2 separate regions of the Mus musculus genome follow, and region 1 is reported to be linked to region 2. Evidence: microRNA targets listed by miRTarBase, many of them from high-throughput screens and not tested one by one. Region 2 holds a microRNA gene; the other region holds the end of a gene's coding sequence.
What was found. The annotated mature microRNA mmu-miR-672-3p reads ACACACAGUCACUAUCUUCGA and lies in region 2 at 8,561-8,581, shown strand. An mRNA with a match to its seed (bases 2 to 7 or 8) in the 3' UTR can be bound and repressed. Matches are read on the target gene's strand: a 7mer-m8 pairs with bases 2 to 8, a 7mer-A1 pairs with bases 2 to 7 and ends in A, and an 8mer does both.

Region 1 (3,000 bases), not on the chromosome of region 2:
TAGTCAGCATATACTTCCACAGTTCTTTATTTAAAACAAACTGATAATTCAGGAAACAGCATAACTGAAAAACATTTACTAGCACTAAACAAATCTACATAACATACATAATTTTACTAAGGTGCAACTAAAACATTTGATATGGCACATTTTCTATTTCATACTGACCTTCTACTTAAAAAGAAAGACAGTTATTATAAACCTTAAGGTGCTCTAAGTTCCTTTTTGCGTTTATTCCTTTTATCACATCTAAAGTTGAGATGGATTTCTAGGGACACACCCTTTTTTCCCTGTTTTAATTGAACGCTATGATGACCTTAGCCTTAGGACCTGACTGGGGACCATTTGAGGGGTACAGCAGCATAGGGCTGGAAGAGGAGTGCTGCCTCCTTTACTGCAGACAGACAGACATGCTGCCTCCTTCTTTTCTAGCAGCTTCTGTGAGGAACACATGTGCAATGTCTTCTGTCCTCAGGCAAGTAATTTTTCTCCAGATAATCTGTGGCACCGTCAGGAATATTACAAAGTTTTGTTGTAAGAATCAGAGGTGCTGCTGATAGACATGTCAGGTACTCAGCATAAAGAAAATACCTGATTCTTAGTAACCTATAAATCTAACTATCACTCATGGGCTCCTGGTAACAGCCCGTCTCACTCAAACCTGTCAGAAAGATTTTCTAACTCAGTCTTTTTCACCTTTCAAGTAGCAGCTTCTGGGTTTATCTGAAAAATTTTGACATAGATTTATCAAAGCCACTGAAGAAATCTGAATATATTCTGTTAACAGAATATTATTCAAGGGTGAAGAATGGATCAACTATTCCAACCTCTTCAGTGGATTAACTACAAAAACAAATTACAAATTCATTTAGCTAGACATCATTAGCTAATTTTCTTCCTCCATCCATGAAGACATCAACACTTGCTTACAGACATTCTAAGTTCATTACATCCGCCTGATTTACTGCAGTCAAGCAGATGCCAAATATCCATTTAACAATTCTTACAAAATACACAAGAAAGCTGAAATGCAGAACAGTTTCATAGCAGTTTACAGAAACCAAAAGAGTAGTTTGGCTTTGTATATACAATACAAATCACACACACACACACACACACACACACACACACACACACACACACACACACACACACACACGTGTGGTATTAGGCTTGCAAACAGCACAAGAGAAGCATTAAATGCCATCTCCCTTTACCCTGCCACCACAGTGAGACACAGGTCGAGCTTTCATTTTAAGGGGCATCAATTCAACATTATGCCCATTAGCATACAGATTAGAGAGAACAGGTCTACTGCGGCCTGAAAGACTCTGCTGCTCTCGGGAATCTACACTACTCCTGAGATCTAAAGCTCCGGAGCCAAGAAATGTCAGTAAAATCCCTGAGGGTGAAACAGAAGCAAACTATCTGGAAGAACCCCTCTTAACCAAGCCACTCTGGATTCCCACACACGGTGTGTGCTTGTGTGTATGAGTGAGCACACCTTTCAAAATGACAAAATGACCAATCAGCCCCCGAGACAAGAATCAACAATACAACCAACCGCCCACCCAGCCCTTGCCTTAACAAGACGATCCCAATGCGGTGTTTAAAGATGGTTAGTGACAGACCAGGACTTGGAACATTAATAAAGTGGAATATGGTGTGGCACACCTTTAACACCGACCTTCCTTCCGCACCTTGGGAGGCCCCAGGAGGTGGATCTGTTAGTTCCAGGGCACATAGCTGAAACTATGCAATCTACTTTTCCCTTTGTAAAAAAGTTGTTTACTTTATTGTTGTGAGTGTGTGTATGTGTGCTGAGAGTTGCTTTCAGTTTTAGACGTTTCCAGGTTGGGAAGCATTCATGCAGACAGCGAGCTAAGACTAGCTGTGTGCCTAATATAATGTGCAAGTCTAAAATGAGCCCAATATGTCAGAAAGTTTTCAACATGAAAATGTCTCATGTTTTGGACTTAAGAATTAAGAAGGCTCAACTTATACTGCTTGCTTTCAACATGCTCTATTTTTTTTTTTTTCTCTTGAATCTGCAATTCTGGTCTGAATATGGGGCCTCCTACAGGTTAGGCACATGTTCTCCCACTGAGCCACACTCCAGCCCTACCTACATTCATTCTAATGAGGGATTCCCATGATATAGTGATAGTTACAATTTTAAAGAGTCCCTTTTGAAAAGTATTATTAAGCACTTCATTACTTAATGTGTGTGACATGCTCTCTCACACACACACACACACACACACACACACACACAGTCTGGAAAACATGCTTTAATTAAAGGTTGTTTTAGAGCAGAAGTTACGAACTTGTCTTCATGTACACCAGCAGTAAAGCTCACTCTGCTGCCCCCACCATTTGCAGTTCAGTGTGTATGCGGCGGTCTTGCTGCAGTAGCACAAGCATGACCTAAGAGTCAGCACGTATCCTACGAATGGATCTTGAGTGACCATTACCTCTAACAGAAGAGAGTAGAAATACTAATATTTAGGTGGTGATCAGTCAAGTAGAAAATTGGATCAAAAGCAGTTATTCACTTAAGTAATTCCTGTCCAAATATGGTGGGTGAGATGTCATTTCTGAAGTTCGAGTTTAAGGGTGAAGGTCACACCCAAGCTTTCCATCCTGGGAAGAGTCGGCTGAGATTTTTGGGATCCATGGCCTGCTGGATAAGCAAGTTCACCTGTCCACCCACACTGAGCACAGTGCCTTCCTCCACGCCTTTCAGTTTCTCTTGCAGTCTCATCAAGACACGCTCAGCTACTTTGTTGAAACTCTGGTCAGTATCACTAATGATAAAAGAACACAAAGATTACAATGAGGTGCAACCATGGAGGGCCTGGGAACAAGAAAATCTAAGTAACAACAGGTCCTTCCTGAAATATCCCACCTAAGACTTTGTTTGCATTCTTGATCATCTGCATTGGGGGTGGAATGGAGGTCGGACTCATCTTCTGGTCTCTGCTGTAGATACAGAGCTTT
Region 2 (16,824 bases):
TTCTTCTATTTAATGCAATATTTGGATGAGTATTTGTGTTACTTCTTTTTTTTTTTTATAAGACTGATAGTATTCAGCAGAGTATCCATCTGGTTCTGGGCTTCTGTTTGCTCAGTTCTCCATACGTATTACTTATATAGATCTGTTTAAGTTGTTTATATCCTCTTGGTATAATTTTGGAAGGCCATATGTTTCTAGAAATGTATTCATTTCTTTCAGATTTTCCAATGTATTGGAATACAAGTTTCCCTTGTACTCTATAACAATCCCCTGGATTTCATTGATATCCCTTATAATGTTCTCATTTTCTTTCTTAATTTGGGGCTTCCTCCTTCTCCCTCCTCCTTCCTACCTTCCCCATCTCCCTCTTTTTCTCCCTCTCCCTTCATTCTTTTGGTTGTTATTTAACTGGTTAAAAGTTTATAACTCTTGTTTGTCCTTTTAAGAATTCTTTACTTCATTGACTTTATTTTTCATTTACTTTACATTTCTATAATGATCTTCATTTCTTGCTTCCTACCAAGTTTGGTTTAGCTTGTTCTTATTTTTCTGACCTTGAGGTATATCATAAAATTATGAATTCTCTTTGAATTTTTAGAGTAGGCACTCATACTTACAAACTTCCCTATAGCAACTGCCTTTGCAGTATCACAAATGTCCTGATAAAGTATAGTTTTATTTTAATTTGATTCTATGAATATTAAAATTTCCTCCCTCATTTTTTCCATAAAACCAATTGATCAAATGGGCAAAGGATAAAAGTGGAAAGTGGTGGATGTAAATTAAGAGAGAGAATAAAAAAATTGACTATTAGAAGATGAAGGAGAAAAATAAAAACACAAAATAATAAAAGAAAATTATTACAAATACAAAAATAAATGTATATATATGTGTATATACATACACATGCACGTATGTAGGTATTATATGCCATTCAGCAATACTAGGGGGAAAGGGCACAGTAGCACACTATTATAAAACCAGAACTGTAAAGGTAGAGCTAAGAGGATCACCAGTTTGAGGACCAGTGTGGCCTACAACGTGATTTCTAAGCCAACTTGAGCTACCTTGTTAAAATGTTCCAAAAAATGTTTTAGAAATTAAAATGTTATGTCCTCTGGGTAGTCATGTGAACAATAGTGGCTGTTCATTATGTCTACCAGTTGGCACTTATATGTCCATATGTCTAGAACAATAAGCTTATTGGAGAAAGCAAATGCAGGTGATGGTCACCTTTCCTTTTCTGTTGTCAGCCAATCTGACAATGTGAGTGTTTTAGTACTGCATATATTGTTTTAGTAGTGGAATACCTTTGTTCCATGCTTGCTAGTATGAGGTGGTATAAACCAAAGTTCCCTCAGTCAGAATTTCCTCCAAATATATTAGTTGAACATACTTTCCACACCCCCAGCCAGAGCCTGCCTGACCCTGAGATCCACATAGATAATGGGGCAACAAACTATACAAGGTAGAGTCATAGAGCAAATCTCATGTTTTTCTTACTCACAACTGTAGTTTCCCGAGTACCAGTCTACATATGTGCTTTCTCAGCCACTGAGCATTTTTATCTGACCACTGCACTGCTTATCTAAAAGGGGAACATCTCCCACCTGAATGTACTACATGTATTTTTCAATGAGCTTTCCTTAGCAGCATTCGGCTGGGCCTACACTGGATGCTGCAAGGGACAGAGTAGAAAAATTCACCACGAGTTTTATAGGGAAGGAAACTGTAGGGAGATATTTCTCAAAGCAAGCAGCTTGAACATGACCTTTTAAAGATGTGAAATGTGGAACACTTCCCAAGCACCAGCATGCTATGTAGCTCCCAGCAGCTAAGTTCAGACTTTCTGCTCTGCATCTGTCTCTGTGCAAGTTATGCCCACTAAATCTTTCTCCTTTTCTGATAGTACCTCTGACATGCTGCCAAGCCACTACAGGCTCAGTCAGGATGCAACCTTTTCACCCTCTGCTCCAATAGCCAGAGGCTCTGCATTTCCCCAACTGTGTGTCTGTCTAATAGCTTCAGTGCATCCCCTCCCTCACTTTCTGAAGAAGCTATTTTCTGACTGTTCTGATTTCTAGCTGGGAAAAGTCTAAATATTCTGTTTGCTTCTAACACAAAAGTTTGGCATAAATATATTTCCATATTATTGTATAAACATCAGTGATTAGCAACAAAAACATGTATTTTAAAGGAGGTATAAGCAACTCAAATGTTCATTGTTGTGTGATAGATAAATAGAACATAGTGTATATCTGTAATGAACTAGTATGCAGCTTCAAAAAGGGGATCTAGTCACATGCTACAAGGTTGATGGACATTGAAGATATTGGGATAAGTGAAATAACCCAACTATATAACACAGTAAGTGTTGTATGATGGTGGAAAGGAAGACAATAAAGGAAGGGGTAAAAATGTTCATGATACCTCTGAATGGTGGGCTAGAAGGGGGGTTGAAACATTTATGAACCCTAAATAAAGTAGGTGTTGAAAAATATAGGCCTACATACATGTGTATGAAAATGCCATAACGGAGCCATTATTTTATGTGTAAACCTTAAAATTGGCGATAATAAAAATATTTAGTTGCAGTGCAATTGTATTAAAAAGTATATACCGTAGGAAATGATTCATCTGTGAGCTGTACCTTTATAGATGAAATTACTGCTCTTGAAAATCAAGCTACAACTGAGCTAGAAACTTCCTTTATGCTAGATAACTTTCATAGTGCCAGAAGAACTATGTAGACTGCTAGAGGAGCCTAGCCTGCTAGGCCTGCATGCTATACCACAGACCTACAAGACAAGATGTGCCCACTGTGGCAATAGTGGCATAACTGTTGAGTATATCCAGCCACATTCTCATTTGATTTGAGGAGGAAATTCATGCCTATTACTGTAAACCTGGTAACAAGTCTGTAGCTGTGGAGGCCATAAGCCCTAGAAGGTAAATGTTTATTTTTATTTTGCTAAATGGACATGTTATATCCATCAAGTTATCATCTAAAGACTTACGGTTGTGCTCATACATGAGTGCTGTTGTCTGTTTTGATAGGGGAAGCTTCCTTTTGTAGTGGGCAGCGTTACTGCAGAGATTCAAAAGTACTCAAGGTGCTGAGAATAAGTGACTTATGGACTGCCCAGCCCTAAAGGAAGCATCGCTATCATCTGCCCCAAGGCTTGAGGAACTTTTCAGAAAAGGGAGCAGAAGGAATTGTAGCAGCTAGAAGAAAAGGAAGAGTGTTGTCGACTGCTCTCTCCTGCCTATGACATGGTTGTAGCACTATTGAAGTATAAACTGCACAAGATTGGGCCTATCAAATTTCATCATGGGTGGGGAAGGGGATCACAAAGGCCCACTCCTCCTAGAGAATTTATTGGCTATGACAGTTGCTATCAGGAAGAGGCTTCACCCCTTCCTGCAGCACTATTGGTAGTTTGATTGCTGAAGGATGGAAAGACATTTTTTTCATAGATGATAACTTGCTCCTCTAAATTACCCTCATCCAAGCAACCCTATTTAAAGTGATGGGGACACCCAAAACCAAGAAAGAGAGTTGGTACTTGCTAGGAAGATATATATATATATATATATATATATATATATATATATATATATAGAGAGAGAGAGAGAGAGAGAGACTTTACATATATTTGTTTTTAAGGCAGGGTTTCTCTGTATCCCTAGATGTCCTGGAACTCATTGTACACCAGGCTGAGGTCACAGAGATCACCTGCCTCTGCCTCCTGAGTGCTGGGATTAAATGCATGTGCCACCATCAGCTGTGTTTCTGCTCAGATGAAGAGGTACCCCACCTCTCTGAGGTGGGACAGTGTCCCAGTGGAAGGGCATCCTGAGACATGGAAGCTCAGGAACCGCACAGCTTTGAGAGGAAGCCTCCTGAGCAGAGGCATTGCAGCGCCCAGGAGAGGGTACCACCAGCTTAAGCTGAGGAGCTCAGGACCCTCACCAGAGAGTCACAACAGGCAAAATAATCTTATGAAAGAGATTGAAGGGTCTAGGGTATAAAGGGACGAATCCAAGGATGGATGCCCTCTGCTTCCTAGAGCAGACAGAAGAGAATTGGACAAAGGGACACTTGCTTATACAGGATTTCTGAGGGGGCGGAGCTTCTCAGGGCAGAGATTTCCAGATTGAAGATTGGTGGGATTTCAAGTTCTGAGCTTGGGCAACTCAGGGATTGGAGGATTTTCCTGTTCAGAGATTGTGGCTTTTTTTTCACTCCCTTCTACCTGCATCAGGCTCATGGGTTAAGGTGGGAAGTACTTGTCTACTGCAATCAGCTTTTGCTGAGGTATCATCTGTGTGTGGCTGCTCCAGGGAGACTGGAGAGGAGGTGCTGCCACTGTGGATAGCTCCTGTGAGACAGCGCCTACAGTTTCACCAAGAAGGTATTGTCACCGTGGACAGCTCTTCATGCTGCAGTAGGCTGAGGCAGGAAAGGTGTTGCCACTGTGTTCCTGGGGAGCACCCTGCTTAGGCAGGAAAGGCAGTGCATCACTACAGGCAGCTCCTGTGACTGCTGCAGGCTGAGGAGATGTCCTGGTGCCACCATTTTAACAGCTCCCGCTGGGGCATCTCACCACAGCCTTGGGCTGAGTGGGAAGTGGGGGGCCAGTCATCACTTTGACTGCTTCTGCAGCATGGCGGGCCACTTAAGGATTACATCACCCAGCAACAAAATATAGAATGACATAATGAAACCCATTATTGTATATAATTAATATATTTTAATAAAAACAAATTATTAGAATGCCTTTAAACAGTGAGTTCATTCTTTAATCCCTTTTGTTTTATCATGTCAGAAACAGAACAAGCTATCATCTATTGAACAGAAGTTAGCCTTCACCACACAATAAGTCTACTTTTGTACCTTGATTGTTTTATCCCCCAGGTCTATAAGAAACAAATTGTTACTCACAAATTACCCAAGGTATTTTAAGGCAGCATAAAAGCATTATACAAATATTAGAAGAGCAAACTCCAAAAACAATGACAGGACCAAATTATGATGAAGATATCAAATAATAGGAATTTTTGTTTGTTGCTGGAGATACAAAATTGGTACAGCCATTTTGGAAGAAAGTTTTTTCATAAAATCGAGTGTACCCACATTAAATGGTCTAGTTATCATGCTATATGTACTTATCCAAATGAGTTTTTGAAAGCTTAGACCTACACAATAATTCACATCTTATTCAGTTCATTAAGATGTCCTTCATGGGTCAGTGAGTAAACAAACAAATGTGTTGGATACACACAATAGACTATTCAGCCTTTAAAAGAAATAAGCTTTCAAGCCAAAATGACACAAAGAAATCTTAAATACATATTACTGAATAAAATAATTTAGTCTGAAAAGTCTTTATACTGTATAATTCCAACTAATACAATATGCTTGAAAACTAAAACTGTGGTGACAATAAAAATTTTCATAATTGCAGGATTTGGGGGGAAGGAATAAATACTGCACAGGGAAATTTTAGGACAGCGAAGTCATACGAAAGTGGGTCCATGGCATATGTCAAAGCTGTTAGATTGAGTGAACATTAAACTGTAGAACTTAGGGGTATGTGTACTTCAGAGGATGGCCTTACGAATTGAACTTAGAGTAGGTTTTTTTTTAGCATTATATGAAATTGGGAGGGGATGGGCTGGTGGATCTGGAAGGCTTTAGGGGAACAAGTGGGAATGAATATGATCAAAATACATTGTGTAGATATATGAAATTCTTAAAGAATTACAAATGGTTTATTTATTTATTTATTTATTTACACTCCAGATTTTATTCCCCCTCCCAGAATATGATCAAAATACATTGTGTAGATATATGAAATTCTTAAAGAATTACAAATGGTTTTATTTATTTACTTACTTACACTCCAGATTTTATTCCCCCTCCTGGTCCACCCTCTGACTTCTCCACATCCCATACCTCCTCCCCACCACACCCCGTCTCCACGTGGATGTCCCCACCCACTACCCCACCAGACCTCTAAACTCCCTAGGACCTCCAGTCTCTTGAGGGTTAGGTGCATCATCTCTGACTAGACCCAGACCTCTGCTTTATATGTGTTGGGGGCCTCATATCAGCTGGTGTATGCTGCCTGGTTGTTGGCTAAGTGTCTGAGAGATCTCAGGGGTCCAGGTTAATTGAGACTGCTGGTCCTCCTACAAGGTTGCCACAAAAATCCCTGACATAGTAGTGCATGCCTTTAATCCCAGCACTTGAGAGGCAGACATGGGCAGATCTCTATGAGTCCCAGGACAGTCAGGGCTACATAGGGAAATTCTGTCTTAAAAAATGAATAACTAAATAAGTAAAAGGAGGAATTTAGAGATCTAGAGAGATGGCTCAGAGATTAAGAAGAGAAAACTTGCTGTTGTTGCAAAGAGCTGAAGTTGGGTTCCCAGCACTCACATGAGGCAACTCACGACATGTAACACGTTTCTTCACTATCCCTTAGTTTATTATCTTTTTTGTTTCTTTTTATGTTTCCTTTTTTTCATTTATGTACACTGTATGCATGTATATCTGCATGCAGCTTACATGTGTGAGTGGGGGTACAGGTCCACATGTGTACACATGTATGTGGAGGTCCAAGCTCAATTTGATATTCAATGTTCTTTCACCACAACTCAAGTCAAGGTCTCTGAATCAAATCCAAAGCTAAAAGATATGGCTACCCTCACTAGCCAGCTTGCTCTAGGGATTATGACCACACCCACTAAGTATTTCCATGAATTCTAAGAATCTGAAATCTGGTCCCAGCGTAGCCATCTCTCCACCCCACCTTTGAAATTATTATTGTTGTTATTTGGCAAGTTCATATATAAACATAATGTATTTTGGTAATTTTTACCTCATTTTGTACTGTTTTTTTTTTCTATTTTATTTTCCTTTTTCTGACCAGTTTTCCTTTTTTTCCTTCTATCTCCCTTTTCTTTATACTTCTCTTCCAGGCATCTTTCCCTCTGATTTCTCCTTTTACATAGGCCTGTTATTGTTGCAAACGGACATTGAAACTAAATATTTTAAGTTATTATAATTATGGATTTATTAATAAAATAAACAATTACATTTTGTTTTTAAGTAGCATGACCAAGCTACTTGGAGAGGAAAGGAATTTTTGGCTTATAGCTTGTAGTCAATCATTTAAAAAAGTCAGGGCAGAAACTAAAGCAGAGGCCATGGAGGGGTGTAACTTACTGGCTTGTTCAGCCTGATTTCTTATACAACCCAGAACCACTTGCCTAGGGATAGCACCAACAACCATGTCCTGGGCCCTCTTATATCAGTCATTAGTCAAGAAAATGCCCCCACAGACTTGCCTAAAGGCCATATTAAAGGAGGCATTTTCTTGATCGAGGTTCCCAGCATATCATATAATTGAAGCTTCTGTGCTGGAAGAAGATGTATTCGAAGAAAGTAAACAAAAATATATTGTGAAAGAAATTATAGTAACTTGTCCTAAATGTTCGCCTTGCTCTTTATTACAGTTATATAAATGTATACAGGGCTGGAGAGATGGTTCAGAGGTTAAGAGCACTGACTGCTTTTCCAGAGGTCCTGAGTTCAGTTCCCAGCAACCACATGGTGGCTCACAGCCATCTATAGTGAGATCCGATGCCTTCTTCTGGTGCGTCTAAATAAATAAATAAATAAATAAATAAATAATCTTTTAAAAAAGATGTGTACAAGACTGCCTTAATAAGCAACCTTTGGCCGGGCGGTGGTGGCGCACGCCTTTAATCCCAGCACTTGGGAGGCAGAGGCAGGCGGATTTCTGAGTTTGAGGCCAGCCTGGTCTACAAAGTGAGCTCCAGGACAGCCAGGGCTACACAGAGAAACCCTGTCTCGAAAAACCAAAAAAAAAAAACCAAAAAAAAAAAAAAAAAACAACCTTTGAAGAAAAACCCTTTGGTTTCAAGTTCATGAACTCTAGATGAATTGCAGAGTGTCTGTGGTTGTTTGTCACACTTAGAGAACTGCTAAAAGTTCTGACTGAGGGAAACTGTTGGGTTTAAGCGTTACTAAGTTTAATGTGTTAGTAATAACCTTATGTTTCTTAGAATTCTGGCTTTCCTCCTCCCCTCCCTTTCCTCTCCTCCCCTTCCTTCCCCTCCCCTCCCCTTCCTTTCCCATCCCTTCCCTTCCAAAATATTATCTCATCACGCAGCCTAGGGCTAGCCTCTAACTCATTGTGTAACCCACTCTATCTTCAACTCACTTCCTCCATTCTGAGTGTTGGAATTACAATAGCACTCCACCATGCCCCTCTGTAGAAGAGCCTCTTTCATTTTCTTGCAGGCTGATAAGATTTGGACATCTCTGCTGAATTTTAGATTTATTTCCTTCTCTAATCTAATCTATAGGCAGCTAGAGTAGACTAGAAAACGTTTGGTGCTTTAAATGTTGTTCAAGGATGACATTTGAAATGTAAATAAAGAAAATATACAATAAAAATATTTAAGATGGTGATCTAGCCCTTTAGTTTTGAGGTTGGTGTACTGTGTGTGAGTATACATATTTATCACACACAGTCACTATCTTCGAAAGTGAGGGTGCACATCTTTCTCAGCCATCTCTTATTAAGCCATTAAAGTAATGCCAACATCTGAAGCTAGCACATTCTGGTTCTAGAAGGTCGAGTTTTTCCTTGGAATAAACTGAGTTTAGCCTGAGCAGAGAAAGACCTTCATTTTTAAAGTTAGTAGTAGTAATAGTAATAGTAGTGTGTGTGTGTGTGTGTGTGTGTGTGTGTGTGTGTGTGTGTGTGTACAGCGGCCAAAGGAGGGCATCAAATGACTTGTGTTATCACTCTCTGCCTTGTTCCTGTTTTAAGGTCTCTCACAGAACCATAGAGTCAGGACGAGAGTCAGAAAACCTGACTGACTGATTCTCCTGTGCCTACCTCACTAGGGTTTCTGGCTTCCTCCCAGCCATGCCTGGCTTTTATTGTATACATGCTGAGAGCCCAAGCTCAGGTTCTCACTCTTATGCAGCACAGAAGAAAATAAGGAAGTTAGGTGACACATCAGCCAAGGTACATTGAGGTTACCTGATGCTTAATGACTCTTTACACAAAACAGAGGAATGCCTACATAAAGACCAGCAGGAACTAGGCAATGTAACAACTGAGACAAAGTCAGCTCTATCTAAGGTCAGCTATAGTCTTAGAAGCCAGGTGTGAGGTCGTTACACTCCTGGGGCAAGGGCTTTCACGCCCAAGCCATAGTTCTAATTCTGATTTATTGTTTAGCCCACCACCACCCAGCTCTTAGTAAATACCTAACTATGCTATTCCCCAGGGCTAGTGAAAGTATGTGCTAGGGAGTTCCGCTCTAGCTAACCTTCTCATGAATAATGCAACACACTAGTTCCTCCTTAAATCACAGCCCGATCTTCTTCCTAAACAATTGTAAATTCCTGTATGTGGGAGTTACTCGCCTGTTATTCTAAGTGATTTTGTGAGGGACTTTCTTCTATTAAGTAATGTAGTCTGACATATATAACTATAATAAGAATTCTAAACTTACTTTGCTAAGCTTGCCCTGAAATTTCTAACTATATGTAGTAGATAGTAACGCCCGATTTCTTTTGCTATCTCTCTTTCAATACTGGAGGCAATTCGTCTGAATAGATAACATTCTTACTAAATTCCAAGCCCAGGGTCAGCTCAAGGACTGCCTAGGACGTTGGTGAAGACCAGGAAGCAAAGTTCAACCTAATTTAGGTATTTGTCAAATCATTCCTTGGAGGCACCTATAATAAAACAATACTGAAAGAAAGCACACAGAACCATTCGCCAACTATTGCAAGGACGAATCTGAAACACATCTGTTTATGGGACACCAGAAACTTTCCAGGAGACAAGTTTCCATAAAACTTTATGCCTCATGACTGTAGCCAAGCTTTTGGGCCTGTCAGGCAGTTTTTACTGGAGTGGGTGTGGCACACTGTAGCTGTCTTCAGACTCACCAGAAGAGGGCATAAGTTCTCATTACAGATATTTGTGAGCCACCATGTGTTTGCTGGGATTTAAACTCAGGACCTTCGGAAGAGCAGTCAGTGCTCTTACCAGCTGAGTATCTCTCCAGCTCCCCATTTTCCTTTCTTAAACCACGCTTATATATTGGCTTTCACTTTGCCCTCATTTCCTAGTGTACTGGCTGGTATTGGGTGTCAACTTGACACAGCTGGAGTTATCACAGAGAAAGGAGCTTCAGTTGAGGAAATGCCTCCACAAAATCCAGCTGTAAGGCATTTTCTCAGTGATCAAGGGGGAAAGGCCCCTTGTGGGTGGGACCATCTCTGGGCTGGTAGTCTTGGTTCTGTAAGAGAGCAGGCTGAGCAAGCCAGGGGAAGCAAGCCAGTAAAGAACATCCCTCCATTGCCTCTGCATCAACTCCTGCGTCCTGACCTGCTTGAGTTCCAGTCCTGACTTCCTTGGTGATGAACAGCAGAATGGAAGTGTAAGCTGAATAAACCCTTTCCTCCCCAACTTGCTTCTTGGTCATGATGTTTGTGCAGGAATAGAAATCCCGATTAAGACACCTAGAGAACACAAAACAGATAGGAGATTTAAAACCATAGAAGTTTCATTCTGCTTCTTAACAAATCATTTCTATAGGATTCCTGGTGGCTGGAAGGCAAATTGAACATTCTACTTTGATCTTGTATTAGTAAAGCAGATGGTTTTGTTAAACAACTCCCTAGGGAAGATTTGGGTCTCTGTTCCAGCTTCTGACATAGCCAAAAAGAATCCCAGAGTGGATAGAGCTGAATTGGCCTTTCAGACATTTTTGTTCAATCCCTTATGGTACATATTGAAAATTCAAGCCTAGAATTGGATATTGTTCAAGGTCACAGTCACATAGTGAATTTCTGGCTTCAAGAGAGATTATTCTTCCCTCCTATGCAAAGGGGGAATCTAACAGATACTGTTTAAGCTATGAACTCTTGTGAGTGTGAATGTTTCATGTATGCCATTATAGTTTAATTTTTAATAATTGGAATAATTCTATATTTATAAAAAATTGCAATGTACAAAAAATCATGATCATTGTCTCTTTTCTCTTATATTGCTGTGGTATAATTTCAAAATAAAACCCCAGATTTTATCAGTTTTCTATGCTAGCATCTAGAAAATCAGGATCAGAGATAACTGAAAATCTTTGATCTTCCTATTTCCTTAGTTTTCTCATCTGTGCCAGTTTTTTAGGTTTACCTGTAAGATGTTTTGTACAATGTCCCTCAATTTGTTGTGAGTTTTGAAAAAAATACTACAGAGATGAAGTGTCATTACTATCAAGGTATATATAAAGTGGTACACAGTATCAGTAGTTAACTTTGATAATATGGTTTGCCATGTTCACACAATAGAAAGTTGAAGTTTTTTTCTTTTCTGTTCTCTATGCTTCAGAAATTCACTCACACCTAAGTTCAACCTCCTTGAAATAAAGAATACTTGTATATATTTACATGTGTAGAAATATAATTCATGTTTTTCTAAGACAATGTCTTACTGTATAGTTGTGACTGTCCTGGAACTCACTACTGTTTGAAACTCACTTTGTAGACCAGGCTGACCTCAAACTCACAGAGATCCACCTGCCTCTGCCTCTTAAGTGCTGGGATTAATAGTGTGCACCGCTTTTGTCTAAAGCAATTTATAAAAAATAAATATAGAATTTGGAGTTCTTTTTAAAGAATATCAACTTTTGTTGACTGCTATTTGATTCCTGTGCATGAAGGTAGAAGTGTTTTGGATGTTAGCTTATCTGTTCTGTTGCTCACAATGTTCTTACTTTGACCGTAAGTGATTCTTTCAGATTAGCTTCTGTAGCCTCTTGACATGCAGCTTGAATTTTATCTTCTTAGATTGATAATTTTCTGGTACTTCAAAATACTCCAAACTCACACCAGCAGTTTCTTTAAGGAATATTAATTGATTGGGGGGGACAATGTATTTGAAAACCAAGATCTGAGCCAATCTTACCAACTATCATTGTTTCTGTACTTTCTCAATGGACAACTTAAGTAATATATAGCTGAACTATTCTATATATACATATGCATCTATAATTGTCTATCAATCTATTTTATGTATATTAAGCTAAATATGACCTCATATCAATACCATGAATGAATCCAGTACTAGTCTTCTATTCCTGTTTACCTATAAATTTCTTCTCTAACAGTGAGAAAACTGTGTTCTAACACCTACTATACATTTGTTTATTTCTTCAATACCAACACATATAAAACAGTTTCAGAATTGACCTATTGTCCCTATGAGAACCAAATGGACAAGAATAATGTTTATGTTCAGTTATTTATCCTTACAATTTTGTGTCAAAACATAATTTTCTCAAGTAAAATCTGCTTTATATCCCTCAGTGCAGTTACATCATTTATGTTTTATATAGTTAAATTCATTTTCACAGTTTTCATTCCATCTTATGATCTTCCAACATCTTGGTTGATTTTTAAATTTTCATATACTAAGGCTAAGTCTTTGTGAATAGGAGGTACATAATTTTTGGCAGAGTGTTATATACTCTTTACTCCAGCATCATTGAGAAAAGTTCTATCATTTTTAAACTTCTGTTGTTGCCAACCAGGACTCCTTCTCCTAACATTCTGAAATTACTCATGGGTTTCCATCCCTATATTCCAATCTGTTTTACAGAATGGCATAACAATATAACAATATAATATGTGGCCTATTTGGGTATAGTTTCTGTTTCTCAGCAAAGTTTAATTTAAGGTACAGTTCATATTGTGTGAATTGGTAATGCATTTAAAATGTTCCGTTTTGGGGGCTGGAGAGATGGCTCAGCGGTTAAGAGCACTGACGGCTCTTCCAGAGATCCTGAGTTCAAATCCCAGTAACCACATGGTGGCTCACAACCATCCGAAACAACTATCTGGCGCCCTCTTCTGGAGTGTCTGAAGACAGCTACAGTGTACTTACATATGATAAATAAATAATTTTTTTAAAATGTTCCCTTTTGGTTTGGGGAGCAGGATGGGGGTTATAGGGGGCTTTGGGGATAGCATTTGAAATGTAAATGAAGAAAATAGCTAATAAAAATAAAAAATAATGATGAAAAAATGCTCCCTTTTGTCTTTGGCCATGTTACCCCTAATACGCCTAATCTCACCGAGTGTTTTGTTTTATTATTGACTAGTATTCCATTGTAGAAATAACTAGCCAATATTTTGTTAAAAGTCATTTTGAGTATTTCTAACTTTGGGAAACTATGAATAATGTTACTATAAACATGTACTTATAGGGGTTTTGTGTTAAATATACATTTCTAATTTATTTTGGTAGACTACTAGCAATATAGTTGGTGGATCATACTATAAGCCTATTTACATTTGTGCTTTTAACATATATTTCCAAGAAGTTTGGGTTGAAGTTGTTTGTAGGGTGTAATAGGATCTCTGCTTGTAAGCTGATTGGAATAATTATCATTCTCTAAGCATATTCTGTATGGATAGAAAATACAATATCCACAAGAAGATAGCTACATTTACCAGAATGATGAAATTTCTGTAAAATGACCAAGTATTTGCTAACATCTAGAAAGTCATAAATCTTTACAAGATTATGGAAGCATTAAAATTTGGTCATTTTATATACAAAGTAGTGAAACAATTAAATTAGAAAACAAACAACTCAGTGTTTTTAAAAATTAGCTAAAGAGAGAAACAGAATTCACAGAAAATTAACTTTTCAATGAGTTCAACAGCCTTAGTCATCAGATAAATGCAAATTTAAACTACTTTGAATCAGAATAGATAACATCAAGACAACAAATGACAACTAATCTTGGTGAGGCTGTTGGAAAAGAGGAACATTAACACCATTGACGGAAATGTAAACTGGTACAACCACTGTGGAAATCAGCTTGGATGTTTGTAAAATAACTGAAAATAGAACGATTGCATGGCCCAGTATACCACTGCTGGGCATATACCCCAAAGACTATATCCCACCACAGATATATGCACAAATACATGTTTACTGCTGCACTATTCATAGTAGAAAGGATATGGAATCAGCATACATGTCCATCAACAGCTGAATGGATAATGAAAATGTGGTACATATGCACAGTGGAATTATTCAGTCATGAAAAATGAAATTATTGATTAAATTTTCAGGAAAATTGACAGAACTAGGAAAAAATATTAATTGAAGCAACCCATTCTCAGAAAGGCAGAAACCTGATGTCGTGCCCAGTATTCAGATCCTAGCTTCTAGCTTTTCTCTATGTGTAGTTATGTGAGAATGAGTGAGTATAAACACCAGAAAACTAGAAACTGGAAGGAGGAGCTATAAGGGAGAAGGATGAGGAGAGCATCAGAATACATGTAATATGAAAGTGGAAGGAGGGAGGGATCTGGGCAGCAGGGCATGTGGAAGACAAGGAGAATAGGGAGAGAAGTATAAAGGATCAGGGACTTGGCTGTGGGATTTTTGTCTTCTAATAACTTCAGAAGCTATACCCATAAGTTACACACTACCAACATGTCTACCAAATGTGAGCTAAACAAGATTGAAATCAACAAATTTGCCAAATTGCATGGGAAAAGCCCAGGAGGCTTCAACTCTACACAAAGATCTGCACAGGCAACTTAGTTAAGCTGGGAGCATGAGAGGTAGTCCTCCCCAAGGAAGAGCATACCAATTGGTTGTCCAGTTCCAGTCAGCCATCCTCACAACTGATCCTACCCCAGTTTCCCTCCCCACCTACTCTCCCATCTATCCACCTCCTTCCATTAACTTCCCTCCTTCTATCCATCTTCAATGTCTATTTTATTTCCCCTTCTGAGCAAGATTCAAGAAACCTCCCTTGGATTTTCCTTGTTACTTATCTTCTTTGGATCTGTGGATTATAGCATAGTTATTCTGTAATTTATGGCTAATGTCCACTTAGAAGTGAGTACATATCATGTATGTCTTTCTGGGTCTGGGGTACCTTACTCAGAATGATACTTTTTAGTTCCATCCATTTTCACCATGTCATTTTTTTAATGGCTGATTAGTATTCTATTATGTAAATGTACCACATTTTCTTTATCCATTCTTCTGTAGGTTGCCGATTTGTCTTATCGACTATGTTCTTTGCCTTACAGAAGCTTTCCAATTTCATGAGATCCCATTTATCAATTCTTGATCTTACAGCATGAGCCATTGGAATTCTGTTTAGGAAATTTCCCCCTGTGCCAATGAGTTCAAGGTTCTTTTCCACTTTCTCTTCTATTAGAGTCAGTGTATCTTTTTTTGTTGTTGTTTTTTTATTTTTTTGAGGCAGGGTTTCTCTGTATCACCTGGTTGTCCTAGAACTCACTTTGTAGACCAGGCTGGCCTCGAACTCAGAAATCGGCCTGCCTCTGCCTCCCAAGTGCTGGGATTAAAGGCGTGTACCACCACGCCCGGCAGTGTATCTGGTTTTATGTTGAGGTCCTTGATCCATTTGGACTTGAGCTTTGTGCAAGGTAACAAATATGGGCCTATTTTCATTCTTCTACCTACAGACAGTCAGTTGGATGAGCACCATTTATTGAAGACGCTTTTTCCCCCATTGTGTATTTTTGGCTTCTTTGTCAAAGATCAAGTGTCCGTAAGTAACTGTTTAAAAAAATTCTGAGGATTTTACTTTTCTCTGTGATTAGAAATAATTTCATCAACAGTACCATTGTGTTCCTTACTAGTTTCACATTGCAGTTTCTTATCAGTAACTGTATATTTCTTGGTGGATTGTATTGTAGGGTTGTTGTTTTGTTTGTTCCAATTATTTTTCATACAAGCTACATTGTTCAACAACGGGGGGGGGGGGGGAGGCGGTTGGCAAAGATGTTGACCTCTCAAAAAACATACAGAACTGAAATAGTGGAGCAGAGCACAGCCAGATTCTTCCCAGCAAACCTCAGGGAAGTCTCTGTGAAGAACGGTTTCTCTGGTGACTAGTACCTGTAGGAGATTTGAAAAAGAATCGAAATGGAAATGAATTAATGTGACCCTAAATATGGCTGAAGTGTACAGGTTTTTTTTAGCTAAATACTGGACTTTATTTCCAGCCAGCCTTGATGGTTCTTCCAAAGGGCAGAAGTGGGGAGGGAGCGAGGTTTGCAGGGGATGGAGGTGGAGTGTGCTCTAAGGATGAAGAAAAAGAACATAAAGAGACTGTGCCGGGGCCTAGCAAACACAGAAGTGGATGCTCACAGTCAGTTATTGGTTGGATCACAGGGCTCCCAATGGAGGAGCTAGAGAAATTACCTAAGGAGCTAAAGGGATCTGCAACCCTATAGGTGGAACAACATTATGAACTAACCAGTACCCCGGAGCTCTTGACTCTAGCTGCATATGTATCAAAAGATGGCCTAGTCGGCCATCACTGGAAAGAGAGGCCCATTGGTCTTGCAAACTGTATATGCCCCAGTACAGGGGAACGCCAGGGCCAAAAAAAAATGAGAATGAGTGGGTAGGGAAGTGTGGGGGAGGGTATGGGGGACTTTTGGGATAGCATTGGAAATGTAATTGAGGAAAATATGTAATAAAAAAAATCAATTAAAATAAAAAAAAAAGAAAATCCATGCAATTAGTGACACGTGAAAGGATAGTCTGTTTTCTGTCTGAACCCAAGTAGCAACGGCAAACAAGACTGTTAAAGAGCTTCCAGAGGGACCACTAGCATCATAATGGAACTTTGTTAGGAAAGTGGGTGTCAAATATATTTTATCTCCCTTCAATCTCTTCCTCTGCTTTAAGCTCCATCCCT

Region 1: the mRNA of Atm is a reported target of mmu-miR-672-3p. Seed matches in the 3' UTR shown: 7mer-m8 at 2,270-2,276, 7mer-A1 at 2,241-2,247 and 7mer-A1 at 1,098-1,104.

Annotation. Positions count from the first base shown.
Region 1 is chr9:53,437,123-53,440,122 of GRCm38, forward strand. Atm (ataxia telangiectasia mutated) reads right to left here. Exons shown (of 63, transcript NM_007499.3): 62 at 2,909-3,000; 63 at 1-2,807. The coding sequence ends at 2,624. Among named protein-coding and RNA genes, the nearest start is that of 4930550C14Rik, 33 kb to the left of the region's middle.
Region 2 is chrX:104,107,949-104,124,772 of GRCm38, reverse strand. Mir672 (microRNA 672) reads left to right here and starts at 8,499; the gene lies at 8,499-8,598. All of the region lies in intron 1 of Nexmif (neurite extension and migration factor), which reads left to right.